Drosophila melanogaster: one gene and its partners. The protein of the gene in region 3 interacts with the protein of the main gene of each other region in a pairwise test. Each region holds a gene or a part of one and is shown on either strand. Other genes may lie near its edges.

What was found. The genes of interacting proteins can lie anywhere in the genome.
Region 1: the proteins of Rsph3 (region 3) and CG14840 interact in a two-hybrid assay, tested with the Drosophila melanogaster proteins (one large-scale study listed by BioGRID).
Region 2: the proteins of Rsph3 (region 3) and CG14635 interact in a two-hybrid assay, tested with the Drosophila melanogaster proteins (one large-scale study listed by BioGRID).

What each region holds. Positions count from the first base shown.
Region 1 is NT_033777.3:14,259,708-14,264,189, reverse strand, and holds CG14840 (uncharacterized protein), read left to right. Parts: upstream 1-2,976; 5' UTR 2,977-3,006; coding exon 3,007-3,909; 3' UTR 3,910-3,982; downstream 3,983-4,482. Other genes in the region: CG14839 (uncharacterized protein), read right to left, coding at 881-1,729; CG14841 (uncharacterized protein), read left to right, coding at 1,774-1,890, 1,963-2,670; MetRS-m (Methionyl-tRNA synthetase, mitochondrial), read left to right, coding at 4,283-4,376, 4,443-4,482.
Region 2 is NC_004354.4:841,652-845,797, reverse strand, and holds CG14635 (uncharacterized protein), read right to left. Parts: upstream 976-4,146; 5' UTR 962-975; coding exon 602-961; 3' UTR 501-601; downstream 1-500. Other genes in the region: CG43867 (uncharacterized protein), read left to right, coding at 2,624-2,686.
Region 3 is NT_037436.4:6,756,129-6,765,223, reverse strand, and holds Rsph3 (radial spoke head protein 3), read left to right. Parts: upstream 1-4,109; 5' UTR 4,110-4,333; coding exon 4,334-5,283; intron 5,284-7,113; coding exon 7,114-7,204; intron 7,205-7,289; coding exon 7,290-7,705; intron 7,706-7,769; coding exon 7,770-8,292; 3' UTR 8,293-8,595; downstream 8,596-9,095. Other genes in the region: Ist1, read left to right, coding at 8,820-9,001, 9,066-9,095.

The DNA.
Region 1 (4,482 bases), on a different chromosome or scaffold from region 3:
GATTCTATAAACAAATACAAATAACTAAGCTAAGCTGATAAATATAACATTGTTGGGCTTAGGCGAATAACAGATAAACGATGGGAGACATTAAAAACAATTACTTACAGGGGCTTGTGTTAGATTGTACATATATTGCATACGAATTATAAATATCTATATTATATATCTACTGTAATGAGAAATTAACTAACCTTAAGTCACCAGGATTGTGTAAGAAGAAACTATTTTATGTAGAGCTCTGCGTATTTATGTTTGTTACCAATTAACCTACTGATTAATTGATTGAACTAAGAATAATATCCGCAACCACATGCTTATATATATACATATATATATATATTTAGAGAACGAAACCAAGCATCACCCTTGAAATTATTGTATTGTGAACAGGCAACCACAACAACAGCAGCCAATTGTAATTGTACTAACTCCATTGATTGCATATTTATTATTTTACACCTAAGTTATAAAATCATGTACATTTTTGTGAACGTTTGTTTGCCTTGATTGAAGCTCAAGCGTAATCATAATTTGTAACGCCTATCTTTAGTTCGGCTCCCTTGTATTCTACTAGTTTAACAATTCTTTCGCTTAAGACTAGCAATTAGTCCGCTCTGGTATTTGTCCAAAATTGTACACACACACACACACACAGCAGGCAGATATGTATATTCCTATCGGGGCGATCGGTCAGACTTGTACAGGCAAAGTTCCATAGCATTTTTTGGCAGCCATTCAAGACGCGCGCACTTTTTGCACGCTGTCGAGGAATTTTATATTTTTATTCCCTAAAGAAAAAAGTTTAATAAACTACAGATTAAAATTCAAATTGATTTATTCTTGTTGTTTTCTTGTAATATGCAAAATATATGGTATATCAATGGTGTTCCTTGTACTCCAGCCACGCTCGTCGCCCCCTTCTGCCACGAGAACCGCCTTCACACTCCGATTGATCTATACGCTGTTTGGCCTCTTGCGCTGCTTTGGCGGCACTTAGTGCCGCCTTCTTGGTCTTATCGTAATCTAATCGAGCTTCGCTAAGTTGCCGCATTAGGACATTAACCCGCCGCTGGGCAGCCTCTAATAGTGCCGTCTTGTCGGCGAGCGATTGTTGCCACACTGTGTATACTTGATCTGAGGCATCCTTAATGTCCTTGGCCAACTTGAGGCTTATGGTCAGTGTCTTGAGCTCCTGCTGGACCAATTGGTGCGTCTTGGCGGCAAGCTGTGCATTCGACTCGGCGGTGATCAGCTCCTGGTTTTCCTCCTGCACCACCATTTCGGCCTCCCTGACCTCCGCTTCCAATTGCTCCAGCACCTGACTCTTTCCGAACAGCACTGCTTCGGCAGCTTTGGCCGCAGCGTTTGCCTTGTCTGCGTATTCACCTTTGATTTTATCAGCGGCCTCCTTAACGGCGTTTTTCATATCATCGTTTGCCTTTTTAGCCTCGTTGGCCGCCTGGACGGCGATTCCGGAGGATCGCTGTTTGGCATTAGTATGGTTTCGCGTCTTCTTTGCCGGCGAGTTGCTATCCTCCCCTGACATGTCGCACACGGTTCCATCACCAGGACCACCGCCACCGAGCCCACCAGCGAAACTCCTCATCAGGTCTGAGTCCTCCGTCTGCATTGGCTTTCGGCGGGTTCGATAATGATTGCCAGTAGCGGATGCCGGGAGCGAGGATAACACAATTATTAGCCACATGATCTGAGTGTCTATCCGCATTTTCCGTTGTCTCGAGCATTTTTCCGACTGTCAATCGGATGGAGATGCCATGCCTGTCAAATCCGGAAATCGAGATTATGCTCTATTGCCAGGCAATGTGCTTATTCCTGCTTAGCCTTGCTTGCGTTTCGCGGAGCCACATAATCATGATAAGCGACTCGGTGAGTCCTAACCCTCGAATCTGTGGGTAAAGTCCTAGTCTATAATTTGTTTTCTCATCGCCATTGAACAAGGATCCTGTTGTGGCTCGATTGTATGAGCCAGCAAGCGAAAAGAAGCAGACTGCAAGTGGAGGATCATCGGAAGGGTGTGAAACAAGTTCTGCTGTGCAAAATTCTTGTGGCCTTAGCCAAAAGAATGCCAAGAGCAAGGCTTCCAGCATTGCAATTAAGGCCGCCCAGGACGCCAAGGCGGCCAATGACGCCCAGATGGCCGCCGGAGAGGCAGCCTCACTCCAAGTGAAACAGGATCTGGCCGAGAAGGCGGTCCAAGCTGCTCGAGCCGCGGAGGCAGCTCTTGCTGGCAAGCAACAGATCATGGAGCAACTGGAGCTGGAGGAAAAGGAGGCGGTGGCCGTTGTGGACGAGGTTAAGAACTCACTCCACAGCACACAGGTGAACGCAGAATCTGCCATGTTAGCGTTTTCCGAAGCCAAGATTCAGCTGGACCAACTGAAAGTCCTTTTGGCTGAGGCCACCGCTCAAATGACCAACATTGAAACTTTCGCTAATGGTGCCCAATTGGAGATGGATGAGAAGGGGCAGCTGTTGGAGGCGGCCAATCGGAGAGTGGAGAGCATCTCCAGACAAGTGGTCGCTGCCAGGCAGGATTACGACAAGACCAAGAAGGCTGCCTATAAGGCGGCTTGTGCGGCAGTGGAGGCCAAGCAAAAGGCTCAAAGGATGCAAAGGGCGATTAGCTCTGCATCCTCTTCAAGCTAGAAACGATCAATATTAGCCATTATCACTTAAATTTTATACATATATATATATTTTTGTAAAGTTTATAATGCTACTTTTTTAAAAATAATATATTATATCAATATAATAAAAAATATACTGCGAGCATGTAATTAAATAGATGCATAATACTATTCATAGCTGCTGGATGTAGGATATACATATATGTTGTATCCATCTAAACAATGAAATTAATGAAAGGCAAATATCCGAGGTAGTTTTTCCGAATTGTTTTTGCTAAGAGAAGGTAATTTTTCAGTCAAACCAGGCTTTCCGAATGGAGTCAGCGTCGAGTGTTTCCAAATATTTGATCGGAATATGCCTGGCACGAAAGCGCTGCTCCTCGTCCTGCTACTGCTGCGTGCGTTCCCTCGACTGGAGAGCTACCACTACCGACCCGCCGAAACGAATGACAAGCAATGCCTGTCCGCATTGTACGGCGATGCCAGCATCGATGGAACTGGTGGGGCGGGCGGTTTGGGAGGCGGATCCGAAGGCTGTGGGGAACCTAATTCGAAGAAAGGGGTTGGCTGCAGCAGCGGAACCGGCGTCTTTGGTCGCGGAGATCCCAAGCAGAAGGCCTCCAACATTGCCCAAAAAGCCGCCCAGGAGGCCAAGGCAGCCAGCGATTCGCAGATGGCAGCTGCCGAGGCGGCTGCATCCCAGGTCAAAAACGAACTGGCCGCCAAGGCAGCTCAATCCGCTCGTGCGGCGGAGGCGGCACTGGCCGGAAAGCAGCAGATTGTTGAACAGCTGCAGCAGGAGATGACCGAGGCGGATGCGGTTGTCACTGAGGTGACCTCGTCCCTACAAAACACCCAAGCGAATGCCAATGCCGCCGCATCGGCTGCCCACGAGGCCCAATCGCAACTCAATCAGCTGAAGAACCTTGTGATAGCCGCCACGTCCAATCTGGCCAATATCGAGAACGTGGCCAGTGGAGCGCAGCAGGAGCTGGCCGAGAAGACGCAGCTCCTGGAGGCTGCCAAGCACCGGGTGGAGAATCTAACCCGCCAGATGACCGAGGCCAAGACGGACTTCGAGAAGACCAAGCAGGCGGCCTACAAAGCGGCCTGTGCTGCAGTGGAGGCCAAGCAGAAGGCACAGAGGTCTCGTCGAATGACCCACCGCCAGCAGGTGCGCTGGGGTCCGCGCAAGATGGCCGGAAAGTTTTCCGGCGCAGGCAGCCAAAATCTAGCACCGAATTCGGGGATCAACTGATCTTTTCTATATTTTGTTACGTTTCGATTTCGGTTTAATAAGTTTCCTATTAAAAGATAATGGTTTTATAACTAAAAATTAAAATGTTTCACGATAATTTTGTTAGTATTAAATAAATATATTTAAATAAGTTTAATTTGCATGGAAATATTTGATTTATTCTTTTGAATTTAATTTAAAATTTTAAGCCGTTAAATTTTGCGTCTACGCTGTTAAGTGTGCATCTATGTCAAATGAGACTGTTACGTGCACTGTTAGCCGAGTGATGGGCAGCACTGGTGGCACAGCTGTTCAATGTTATAAAATCAACCGGCAAATTGTTTAGACGTTTTTTTTTTTTACTTATTTGTATATTAAAATAGCTTTTAAAGTGATGCTTATTAGAAGAATTAAGTGCCTCAGATATTTGGGAACTCGCTACAACAGTTCGCACTATGTGACAACTCCAATTTTCTATGTAAATGCAGGTAAGCATTTTAGACCAAATCAGTCAATATTACGGATAATAAAAAGAAATAATTTTTAACAAATAGCTCCTCACATTGGACACCTGTACTCAGCGGTCATAGCCGA
Region 2 (4,146 bases), on a different chromosome or scaffold from region 3:
CCGACTAATGGGCAAAGTCACCTCCTTTGGCAGTAGTGGCTTCGGGGGTTTACTTCACCCATTGTGAGCCATTTGTTTGCTGGAATTGCATTCGTGGCTGCGAAATAACATTTTCCGTTTCCGTTCTTGTTGCGACTGCGTGCCACATTTGTAAAACTTGTGTGTTTAAGTCTGAAGTGTCTGAAGGAAAGTGGACCCCCTCCCCAACCCCCCTTGGCACACCACCAGCAATTAATGCCAAATGTTTTCTGCTTTAGGCCGCCGCTTCATTTCCTTCCAATTAAGTCGCCAATTGGCAGGCCAGAACGCCCCTGATTAAACAGGTGTACGGATGAGGACGGCCAAATCCGGTAAAACCTTCGCAATCTTTCACGCACGCAAGTCGAACCGAACTTTCTGCCTTTTCAGCTTTATGTTTAATCCAATGGTTTGGCCAAGTTTCGTCGCAGCGCCGAACACCAGCCAGCCATCGCATGCAAGTAAATTGTCCATATAGTCAAGTCAGGAAAATGTGTAAAATGTATTTATTGTGTTCGACTTTTAGCGGAATATGCGGGATCACATGTTTAATGTCAATGCCGAAATCCCAAACAATTTCCGCCTAGAACTGGTCGGGAATATTTCGAACTGAACCAGATGACCCGGCGTCTTGGAAAGATCTGCCAAAAATTCGATCGTAGCGCTCCAAGGCTTCGTAGGAGACCCGTGCTGACCGCAATGAGGGACGAAGGTAGCCCGTTGATGGAGATCCAGCTGAAGGAGGAGGAACTGGAAACGAATCGTGTCGCTGTGGCATAGAAAGATCGTTCCACTTGCGGGTCTGCTCCTGTTGGAGCTGCAGATCGGGCGCCTCATCGTCCAGGTCAGCGATATTCCGCCGATGGGTGGTGCTGGTGGAATCCGTGTCGGAATTTCCCTGGGCCCTGATACAGGCAAACAAGTCGCTTAAACTAGAGCACATATTTGTTGCTTCTGGGCGAGTTTGTCGGTGGTTCCACCCTATTTATAATCGTGCAGCTATGCAGCTGTTTTTGGCAAAGGGAATGGCTCAGCCAATTAGTACACTAAGTAGACTTAGTCATTACCAAGCGACCAAGCGAACAAATAAAAACACTTCCTAACAATGTTGGAAATTTTAGACGGTACTTGTACTTCACATTTGATTGGATATGCAGTTAGATTCTCCTTTGAGTAGAGGAGTACGAGTATACTCCTCAAACAGCTTAGCAAAGGTTAACTCAGACTGAAGAGATGTATGAAAGCTTACCATCAAGTCAAGCTGACGTTTCCTGCCACTTCCGCTCCGCCATTCATCATCGGTAGAGGAGGCTTCTTCATATTTCGCACAGCAATTTGACGTCCATCAATCAATGGGCTCCACACCCCCGTCCGCCCCCTTAACTGAGTGGCCACTTGAATGGCATAAAAAGCGGAAATTAATGCACTTAAGACATTCAAAATAGACGGCAGTCGATCTCTTGCGCGCTTCAAGTGGACCCCTTAGCGACGTTTAACCATCTTCCTCTACGCCCTTCCTCCCTTTGGACTCTTGGGTTCCGTAGGCCACTTTGGTGATTAATTGGACGGGAATTCCTCGAGGGCTATTTCCGCGGCCGGCTTTTCACCTTTCTTAAATGGCAATCCATTGAGTTCAGAACGCGCGAAGCAAGCGACCAAGGGCGAAATTAGCCCCGTTTTCCAAAATTATCGTAATACCAGGTGCAAAGAAGCAGATCCCAGCGACATGAATTGTATTAGCTAGAGAGCATTATTACTATTAGCTGCAAATTGTGTGTCATTTCCCATGATTGATTCATTGATGGATAGACCATCCTTTGGGTGGCTGGGTAGATGATTCCCAATGAAAAACCTCCCATGCTGAAAAACCCCAAAAGCATAAGGACCGCAAAATAACCATTTTTTAAGAGCTCAAACGGAATTCACCACACCGGAAAATACTGGGAACTTCTTCTTATCAGGGTTTGTGTCTGCACTAAGTTGAATAATTTGTTAGAGGGTGTATCAGATAAATGTTTACATCGGGTTGTAGAATCGAATTTGAAATTACACTGTAAATTTTTTTACAGATCCATTGAAAACTAAGAGGCTTAAGAATAATTTTTTGGAAGTATAACCAATTCCCAACTAATAAAGTTAATTAAGTATTCTGTGGCTTATGAAATAAAACCATGAAGAAACGTTGTGGTCAAATGCCCTGACTATCAGATACCTTTTACTTGGGCAATTTTCAGAATTAACACGCCTTCAGATATAGATGGCGCCACGTAATATTTTACATACAGATCTACAAAAGTATTTATATTTAATTAAGTATATTTTTTCAAACCTTTTACAATATTAGTTAGATTTTAATAGTTGTCGGAAGAAAAATTTAGATATATATAAAGGCAGGGGCAGGGGCACCCACCTGGTAAGAACTCCTGAAAATCTGACGAAACGATGTATAAATTACAAATATAAAAATGTAATTATATATAACAAACTAAAGCTGCAGAATAAGACATCAATATTATCCCACAATTGTTAATGCTTAGTCATGTTTAGATCCTGTTATTAAGGATATATGCGTGTTTTAACCAAGTCTCTTTCTTTCTACTTGCAGCTAACGGAGCTCGAACAGCGAGTCATTGAAGCGGAAGAACGCGCCGAGGAAGCCGAAGATAAGGTAAGCCATTAAATGACTCCCATCCCCCGCTTCTAATCCTTATCGCTTGGGTGGCAAAATTAAAACGATGGTTAGGGGATCCAGTCTATCCTGCACAGAGCCCCCACATTAGAGGACAGCTTAAAGGTGGAGGGTCCCCAGATTTTCATGACAATGATGTTCTATACAGGGATGGAGAAACTGTAGCTAAGGGGGGGTGTTCGTCGAGCAGGGGCCACTCACAGCTGTGACTAACAACAAAACTGGCCCGCCAACCTAAAATTTGTAACCAACTCAAGCGGCAGACACACACTTCGCGAAATTAATTCAAATTTTAAACTTACATAGCACTGTATGTGCATCCACTCCAAAATTCTAAAATCGGAAATCTATCTTTATAAGATTCATTGAAAAGAAAGATCTTAAGATACGACTACCAGTGATTTCTTTTAAATATATCTATACAGATGAGGTTGTTCCAAGTGTTCACAGAGGCTTTGTCCTTATTACCACCTTGTATTTTGTTGAGTGCCTCTACTTCTATTAAGGGAGGGGTAAAGGGATCCGGCTCCACAGCGTGTGCTCGGTACACAAGCCTACATCGAATTCCCTTGTCACCCAGTGCTCCCCGGATACACGCTTTAATGCAGGCCTGCGTTGGAGTTCGTGCTGCTGCAAGCGAAGTGAAGCTTTATAGCCCCTTTCCTCCGTGGCACAAAACTACCCCAAAAGGACGAAATACACAGGCTGTATTTGCCCCCTTCCGATTGCTCGATTCTGCCCCAGCTCCTCGTACTTATGCTTTCAATATCAAATGCGCATTGTTTACATTAACAAGTCCCCGGAGCCTTTTGGCTTTGCCTAACGCAACACGCCAAAAAACAAGCGAAATGCAAATATTTACACCATCTCCCTCGCGACATTTAGTTTCGCCTCTGCACTGCCCGAAAGAAAGGCAACCAGTATTGGTGGAAAAAGCGTTGAATACTTTATGCACACAGAAGAACCCTTAAATCGAACAGGAAATATTCTCTCCCATTTCTCTCTGTGCATTACATGCTCCCCCTACCAAATCCAGATCATGGGTAGCTCAGAGAGATAGAGCCACCGTTGCCCGGCGATGTTTCCCGGATCCTTGGCCACCTTCGAATCCCCGGCTTCACTTAGCTCTGTGTGCCATTCCCGGAGAGAGCAAGGGAACCCAGTCCCGTCGAACAAACTCCGGTAACCCCGGATACTCAAGAAGGCGGGGCTAACCACTGTGACAAATTGAATTCTTGTTACTTTGTTTGCCCCGAGATTAAATTCATGTACAAGCACGTGGATGTTAACTAGCTAACAGGATGGGCCAGAATGGCCATAGCCACCCCGATTTCCCAGTTTTCCTCTGATCCTTACTCCCCTTTAAATTGCCGGCAACCCTTCGGTTTTTTGGAGGCCAAACCGTTAACAGCCTCGTTACTTATGCATCAATTAGTCGT
Region 3 (9,095 bases):
GAAATGACTAATGTGGTGAATCTAGGCCACTCAATATTTTCCAGATTACGCTTACATTTATTTTCACAGATTTACCCATAACTACATATTTTATGATCCTGTTGGCGCCACAGTCGCACATAAATAACTCATAAAAAAGTGCCCACAACAGCAGCCCGCAGATAATTCAACAATTGTGTCTGCCGAATGTTTTTTACGATCCGCAACCGTTAGGAACCCGAAGATCACTTTCCCTTCGACAAGCGGTAATAAATTAATCAAATCCCGTGCTGGACGTAATTTTTCCAGGGAAAATTGCAGCTCACACCTACACAGTGAAATGGATAGTATCTTGAGGAATATCGAGGAGTATCCGCAGTAAATGATTTGTTTGACAAGAAGCCAACAAACTCAGTGGGATGCCTTTGCCCGGTGACTTCGCAGAATCCGTATCGTATCTGAGCAAATGATCGGGAAATTGCGGGACAAGATCTCAGTCGCCAGTTGTCGCCTGTGTGGCCATCATTAACCTTTGAACTCACTAAATGGCCAAAGGACCACAGCGAATGTCAAACGTCATGGCCACTTATCGAGTGCGGACTGTTGTTCCTGTGATCTTATTAGGCATTTTCGGGAATTTCAAGGGGTTCGCTTCGGACGCAATTATCACCCCCGCATAAAGCGAAACGTCATCGTTGACAGCCACGTCATTGTTGTCCAGTCCGAAGACCAAAGTCCTTCGAACTATTTGTTAATGAATAGACAGAACCATACAAAAGATTCTGTGTAACTCGAAACAGAAAAAGGGGGTCAATTCAAATGACAAACGTTCGATAGTCCGAGATATGATAAGCCTTGAAAACCTAATTAAATGACACGTTCCAGGGAAATTCGATTCAGGCGTGGCTACATCGAAACGTTTTAACTGATGGCAAGCGATTTAACTTAGTGATAAATAGTTTAGAAAATTCAAAGTCATTTTAATATCAAGGAATTAGTGAGATTTTTTGATGTCCCCAAGGCAATTGTGCAACCAAATAGACCAAAAATGTAATTTATCTGCAAACTTACCACTAATCGATGATAACAATTTTGAAATAAAATTTTTTTATAAACTTTTTTCTTTGTTACTGTAAACTATTTAATATTAGCCAATAAATAGTAGCATTGAAAACTGCTTGCAATTTAGGTTCGGGTTTACTGCTTGCTGACAAGTAAAACAAAGTATACATATGTATAATATACATTTTACTGTAAAAAAATATTCACATTGTAAGTGTATAATGTCATGTAGAAAAATATAGTTATTTTGCTTAGGACTTGTAAAATGTTTTAACCATTTTAGACCTTAATGAATAATTTTAAAAATTGTAAAATTTATACAAAAAACATAAATAATTATTTTTCTGCCATCCTGCTTAAATTTAACGATGCGCTTAAAGTGTCAATTAAAAATCTATCTATGAATCAAAATCCCGAACAGCAGCTGTATCTGCAGAATGCATGCAATGTAGTTGGAATAATAAATCAGTAATAATAAAATGATAATGATAAATAATAAATAAATTATATTGGTATTTGGTCAAGTCCAGCTAAAAGCTAATAAAGCTCCTTAGAAAAAGTTGCTTTGCATTAGTTTCTCCTTGCTAGGAAGATATAAAAATAGATTCCTCATACTGAATGATAGTTAGTTGTGTATAATATATGGGAATGTGTAGTGACCATTCGCTAAGCGAAAGTTAGAAGGAAAAATTGCAAATGTCTCGATAGACTTTCAGTCAAAAAACGAACAAAATCTATCGAGTGTTAATACGAATAAAGTGCATTGCCAAAGACCCATCCCCACACAGCAACAGTTTAACAATGCCGACTTTCAATTCCCATGGCAACTGAGGAAATTCCGCCGTCGTTGTTTATTTTGGATACAAATTTTTTGATAATACAATATTTTTTTAAATATGGAGATAAAAACATAGGACAAAGAACTCCAGTGAAAATGTGTCACATAAATAAATCTATTTTGTACACATAAATTTGGCAAGCGGTAGACCTTTATCCGATATATATATTTTAAGTTTTTAAAAACCTCAATAACGCAACATAGCAATAGTTAGCAATGCCGACGATCCCGAAGAGGGATTACAAACCCAATGGTGGTGGCAAAAGCTCAGGAATGGATTTCCTCAGTTCCGGCATCAAGGGAACCGAGGTCACCGAGATGCAGCTCAAGTGGCACGAGAATCCTTGTCCAGCGCCACCATGCAAACAGGCATTTTGGTGGGCCAGCCATCCCAAGCCGATCAAAATCAAAGGTTGCCCCAAGTAAGTATCAAACAGAAGCCACCCAAAGAATTTCCCATGCTTCCCTGTAATTCCCTGTAATTTAAGTCCGACAAGTAGGGTATATTGAATATTTCGTAAAATTATATTATAATATTAATCAACTTTCTTACTTTCTTTGTAATTTATATAATATATAATAATTCAATAAGTAGTTAAGAAATCATTTATACGCTACAAATATGAACCATTAGAAATTGTAAGCTCGAGTTAATTATCATGGGTATTACTCCTCTTGTAATGAGTATCCTATAGTTGCAAAACCATTGCTTTTTGTAACGCCTTGCAGGGGAATTTTCTACACCTTTATATGTCTCCCCACTGGGGTCAATGGAACCCAAGACCAAAAACGAAAGTCATAAATTGCGTAAATAAATTATTAAACGCTGGCCGTGTTCGGCTGATGGTCAATACAATGGCCCCACTAAAGGACACGCAAACTTGGTACGATTTTGAATAGAAACATTCGTGTTCTGAAGGGAAACAATAGAAGGAGTGCACAGGACAGGAAATTATGAGGAGTGTGGAAGTCGATGAGTGCTTAAAACTATTGTAGAAATTGACGCACTAGTATCATAAAAATATACAAATATATCTGACTACCGATAATGACGGGGGCTGGACTTGGGTCGGATTAAGGTCAACCAGGGAATAAGGATGATCCCCAAATATGATAAAAACCCAATAAACTATAGTGTATCTAAATCCAGTTGTAGTAAAGTGCTCATTCTTCTCTCAAGCTAAAAATCGAATAAATACTACAGTGTGGTATATCTTATATCTTATCATTTATTCGAATATATTAGTACATCAATTCTGAACTGTATATGTTCAAATTAGGATAAGAATACCGTGCTTTAGGTCAGCCAACGAATTTAATCATATAGAAGTATGATTGAGTGAAAGAAAATTACCTTTTTTAACAACAGGCTTTACCAAAAGCTTTTGGACTTCTGATACATTCTTACCAATTCCTGTTACAATAATCTTTCATCTATTCACTGACCTTTCTTCATTGCCAGTAAAAAAGAGTGACTCCTTGGAGTGCCAAGAAATCTACTTAATTATGCTTAGTTCCCTGTTGAATTCCGCTTATCAGGCAGTCCAAGCAATTGACCTTGGCCATTGACAATACCTAGGAGGTGTTCCAAGTAATAGAGAGCCACCCACCTCCTTTTTCAATGTCAGGCAGGGAAATGCGTGAAGTCATCTCCGACAATGTGAAAGGAAATGTGGACACCATCGAAACAAATTCAAGGTCCCTCCGCCGGGCGAAACCTTTAATTGGAGACCCCAACGAAACTACTTGGATGGAAAAGAAAAAGCTCTTATGCAAAGTAGAATTCCTGGGAACGTGGATTTGGCCATGCCAATGCCACCGACTGTTAACAGTTCGCATTATTATTGCAACACCTGCCCATCATGTGCCTCAAACTGCGAAGCAAGCGATACACTCAGAAAAAAATTTGAAAAATATGTGTATATAGTATAGAAACTTACATTGTGGCACGCACGCGAAGTATTGTTATTTAAACTTATGAAACAGCAACATGAATAGTTTAAATATGCAATTTTCTATATAAACCAATTGCAGCACTTTAAGGATATTTTTACTAAAAATGTCCTTTGAAGTAACAGCTCAATTCCTGGAAAGCTTTAGTCGTGGGCAGTAGGAGACTATATGTTCCACATATTTTTCCAACTGCACGACGACTGCTGACCACGGGCCGAATCCAAAGTCGAAACCGGGTCCGAGCGCGAGTTCCACGAGTCCTGCGAGTCCTTTGGTCATTTGGCGTTTGCCATTCGAGCCGTGCGGTACGTGTTCCGCGACAAAATCAAACAATCAACCAACGAACGCAACACCTGAGCGGCGCACAAAAGGGAAAAATATAGGAAAAGTATTGATTAAGTTTTTCGGTGCGGCGGGTGAGAGAACCGTGTGGTGGCTATTTATAATGAACGAGGTGACCGGCGGCCGGGAGCAGGGATAACCGAGACGGTAGCGGAGACCATGCCAGAGACGGAGCAGCAGCAGCACCCAGCACACTCACATCCTGAACTTAAGCCAGATCCACAGCCAGTGCCAGAACTGGAGCACCTCACCGACAATAGACCGAATCGCGTGCAGAACTTCTCCTTCGCCAGCAGCTATCCCTACGCACCAGGACGCGTCTCGTCCAGCTCCAATTCGAACACCAACTACAGCTCCACCAACTACAACGCCGGCGGCTTCAACGTCCAGCGCTATCAGAGTCCCTACAATTTCCAGCACGTGGTGACCAACGCATTCTCGGTGCTGCGCCATCAGCCCTCCGAGGAGCCCGAATTCGATTCCTATCCAACGCGACCCCAACAGGCCATCGTGCGTCCGATTAGACGTGAGGCGGGCATAGCTGATAACCGTGATAATCATGTAGGGAATCCTCCACAGCGATCGCACTTCTCGCGCAGCAACCAGGAGGTGCGCAGCTTCGCCGATGAGCTGAGCCAGAAGCTGCGCTTCCTGGCGCCGGAGGAGCAGAACTACGGCGGTCGCCAGAGCGCCAATTCCGGTGCCTGGATGGATCCAGCGATGTCGCAGCGACCACGATTCGAGACCACAGTGCCGCAGGGCATCTTCCTGCCGCCTCCGCATGAGGTCCAAATGATACCGGCCACCATGCTGAGGAGGCATGTCTACGCCTACTCCTCATATCCCATGATCCTCCAAGGGTATCTCACCAAGGAGACCGGCAGTGAGAGCAAGGAGCAGAAGGTGACCGCCACCCGGCTGAACGGTTTGCGTGCCACGGCGGCAGTGGCGGCGGCCACAGCTGCGGCCTCCAAATCCTCCCGTAACGATACGCAATCCCTCGCCGGTGGACTCCACATCACCAAGGCTCAGTTCCAACAACAACTGCAACAGCGTCGCTCCACCAGCAACAACAACAACAACAGCAGCAGCAACATCAGCGACAAGAGGTAATAAAAAGACCAACCCCCAAAATGGTATGGGTGCTAAACTTGGAAGTAAAAAAAAAAAAGGTGGGAAGTGGAAAAGGTCCGACAACTGACCAAGGCAAAGTGGGCCAAAATATATTACCATAAATTCAAATGAGTAATACGTACGTACCTACACTGCCATTCTGCAATGGAACCAGAACTTAGCTCCCCACTTCAGTTCCTACGGCCATTATCGATTGACACCCAAACAATTCAATTACAAATAGGTTTTGTGGTTTAAAGTGCCGAATTGAATCCTTCAAGGATTTGTTATCTAAACTGATATAGATTCAAGATGATACCTTATTGATCTGTTTTTAGACTTTACTATGACACGCAAATAGAATGGAAGGCTCTTCATCAGCCAAGTTTCTTGTGTGGCTCACCCACTTTCACAATTAACTCTTTAACAATTCAATTAGAAATGCTTTTCCAATAACATTCGGACATTGTAAATTCCCTGAACGGTTTGATTAATTTATTTAGCGCATTCTCGAATGGGAAAACTCGTTTGCCTTGCATAAAAGAACATGCGAACAAATGGACAAATGGACAAAGGGACAAAGGACCCTCGAATGTGTCGTGCCAGCGGAGAATATTCTATATTCCCAGCTCGGGGCTTAAATAATTTAAATCAAGATTTCGTAAACAACAACAATATGTACCCATTGTACCAAAGCACAAATGGAGGGATATTAAGTTCAATTACCACACCAGAGAAGAAGGACACCTATGGCACAATAATAAAAAAAAAAAAAAAAACAAAAAACAGGTCCTGCCGGTCGTTTTTACCCAAATGGGATGTTGTTCGGCCAAATGGGCTATACTTTTTGGGTTACGAAAAATGAAATATCACACTCAACGTTTAAATAAAGAACCTATTAGGGAGATAACTATTTTATAACTCAAAAAGGATTCACCAACTTAGATTTTCGTTCAGACCATATATCCCTCATAAGGACATCGCACTAAGGGTTTCCCGTTCCATTTGCTGATGTCTGTGGTGCGCAGACCCAGACCCAGAGAAATGTTGTTAGACATTCGCCAGCAACTTCAATGTGACTTCCTGTTTGTGGGCCAAAAGTAGCTGCGAATTTGCATAGGTCACGAGTTCAGGTGCCAAGTTCTTCTAGTGCAATGTCTAACTACGTTATATACTACTTCTACTCGCAGTCAGCATGTATGTATCAGCATATATGTAGAAATGTAAGAAATGTTTGTTTCCCCATTTACTTGCCGGTGCTATACATATAAATTAGCAAGTCATAAATTACTCAGCCACCGCGGACTGGACTCGTGGAACTTTAAGCAGGCTTTAAACTCTGACCCAAAAGTGTACTGAACTTTGGCGAAATTGATTCGAATCGGAGATGACCTGACAAGCAGTCTGCGAGGGCGTTGGGAAATGAACAAATTTGATGTTTATCGCCTTGATAGTGCAACAGATTTGGGTCTTGGCAAATGCAGCAAAGTGCACTGAAACTGCAGCAAATCAAAACTAAATAAATAAAATATTTAAACTTTAATAGAAAGAAGTTAACAAATCTAAAGATAACTAAAACTCATACACTTTTAACTTGCTTTTCCAGCAGCAATTACAATATTTATCCATACATAGATATCATATTTATTAGAGAACTTAACCATTTATGTAGTAATCCTTTTAAGTTGCACATTTACGAACCTTTTCAAAAAGTCTGCAGCTTTTTTGCTGCATGAGCAGTTTGTTGAACTGGGTCGAGGCTTACTAATTGGTGGCTCCCACCTGGGCAACTCCATGCCCGCTTCTCCACTTTGCTCCTCTTGCAGACCCGTCGTCCCGCCGCCGGAACCCTACAAGAACGTCATGTACGACCGTCGCGTCATAAAGGGCAGCAACTTCGGCAACGCCTCTCTGGTGGTAAGTCCCATCAGTTCAGCTCAGCTTAGCTCAGTGCTCTGGCAGCCCTGACCTACGACTAATCCACTTTTTGCTTCCTCTCCAGACGGATGTGGATCCCTTCGACAAGGCCGCCGAATTGAGGCGTCGCAATATGTTGCGCAAACGGACGATGCAGTGCCGCAATCAGAGAAATGTCCTGGGCACACCGCCGCCGGTCAAGGGGCGGAAGCACGAGACCATACAGACGGAGAAGTATCTGGAGAAGTTGGTGCAGCGTCCGCCGGAGTTCACCATCGACACGCAGACGGACCTGTTCCTCGAGAAGCCGCCGACGCCTCCGTTCATACCGGCCAAGGTGGGCGTGGATGTGGCCACCGAGATCGGTGAGGGCGAACTCTTCCACTTCGATGCCGAGGCGCAGCCAATCATCGATGTCCTGGTGGACGCCTGCATTGAACAAAGCATGCTGGAGGTGGCTCACGAGATGGAACTGTCCAGTCTGCGACGCAAACAGGAAGAGTACGTATAAAAAGTGTAAAGTAAATCTTCAGATTACTATAATGGCGTTTTGTGTTACCCACAGATTCCTGGCCCAGAGGGAGGCGGAACTGGCCGAGCTGCGCCGTTTGGAGGCTGAGGAGCTGCGCTTGCAGGCGGAGAAGGAGCGTCGCCTGCGACAAGATGCGATTGCCAAGGAGCTGGACGCTGAGATGCAGAAGAGCGTGACGGCGGCCAAGTTGCTCCAGGGACACATTGCCAGTCTGGTGCCGGAGGTGCTGGAGAACATTGAGCCGGCCAGCGATGCCGTTAAGAAGGAGCAGCTTATGAAGAGCGTCTGCCCGTGGTTGTCCGCCGAGGTGGCCGAGGAAGTGGGCCATATAGTGGACTCGCGCGAGATTCTCACCGCCATCATTCAGGAGATTATCAAGCAGCGTGCCGAGATCTATGCCGGCTACAAGGAACCTGAATCGGAACCATCCGGACCGGATGCGGGCGTTTGTGAGGAGGAGGGCTGTGCCATCGATGAGATGGAGGCGTGTCCCTGCGAATCGGAAACGGAAATGGAGGAGTGCCCCGAACCGCCACCACCGGCTCCTCATCTCTAAGTGATTGCGTTCGAGTTTTAGTTCATATATATATTTCGAGTGGGATACTGATTCCGCACACATGTAACACTAACACACTCCTGCTATTAAATCAAGGTTGGCTGCAACTTTGTGGTTGTGTCTGGTGAAGAACTCAATTCGCCGCAGGATTCGAATCGAGCCTGGGCGCCAAACACAATTGCATAGCGGCGGCGGCGAAATGGCATCGAAAAAATGGAATGGCATATTGTAAACTGGATACTTGTTAAAGGTTTTTGTGTTACCGAAAATTCAACCAATAAAGCTCAACAAAATAAGCCGAACAAAACATTTTAGAAAATATTTTAAACGGTTGTTAAATTAAATTAAAATATTAATAGAGCCAAGCAATTTGAAATTTCAATGTTACCTTGGTATTTAAGGGGTCTGCATGTACGGTCACACTGCACGTGACGTCACATTGTTTTTTCCATACCGAATTAATGAATCACCACTGACCGAATTTCCTTGTTTTCACAACTAATTCGGAAGTCCAGGGTGTAGTGAAGATGTTTTCCAGCGGCCCCAATTACAACAAACTGAAGACCAATCTTCGATTGGCTCTCAATCGCCTGAAATTGCTGGAGAAGAAGAAGGCGGAGCTGACGCAAAAGTCCAGGAAGGAAATAGCCGACTATTTGGCCACGGGCAAAACGGAAAGGGCGAGGATTCGCGTGGAGCACATCATTAGGTGGGTGCAGGAATATATGAGCCATTCTTATACCTCCATATATCGTATATATCGTACATCATAGGGAGGACTACTTGGTGGAGGCAATGGAAAT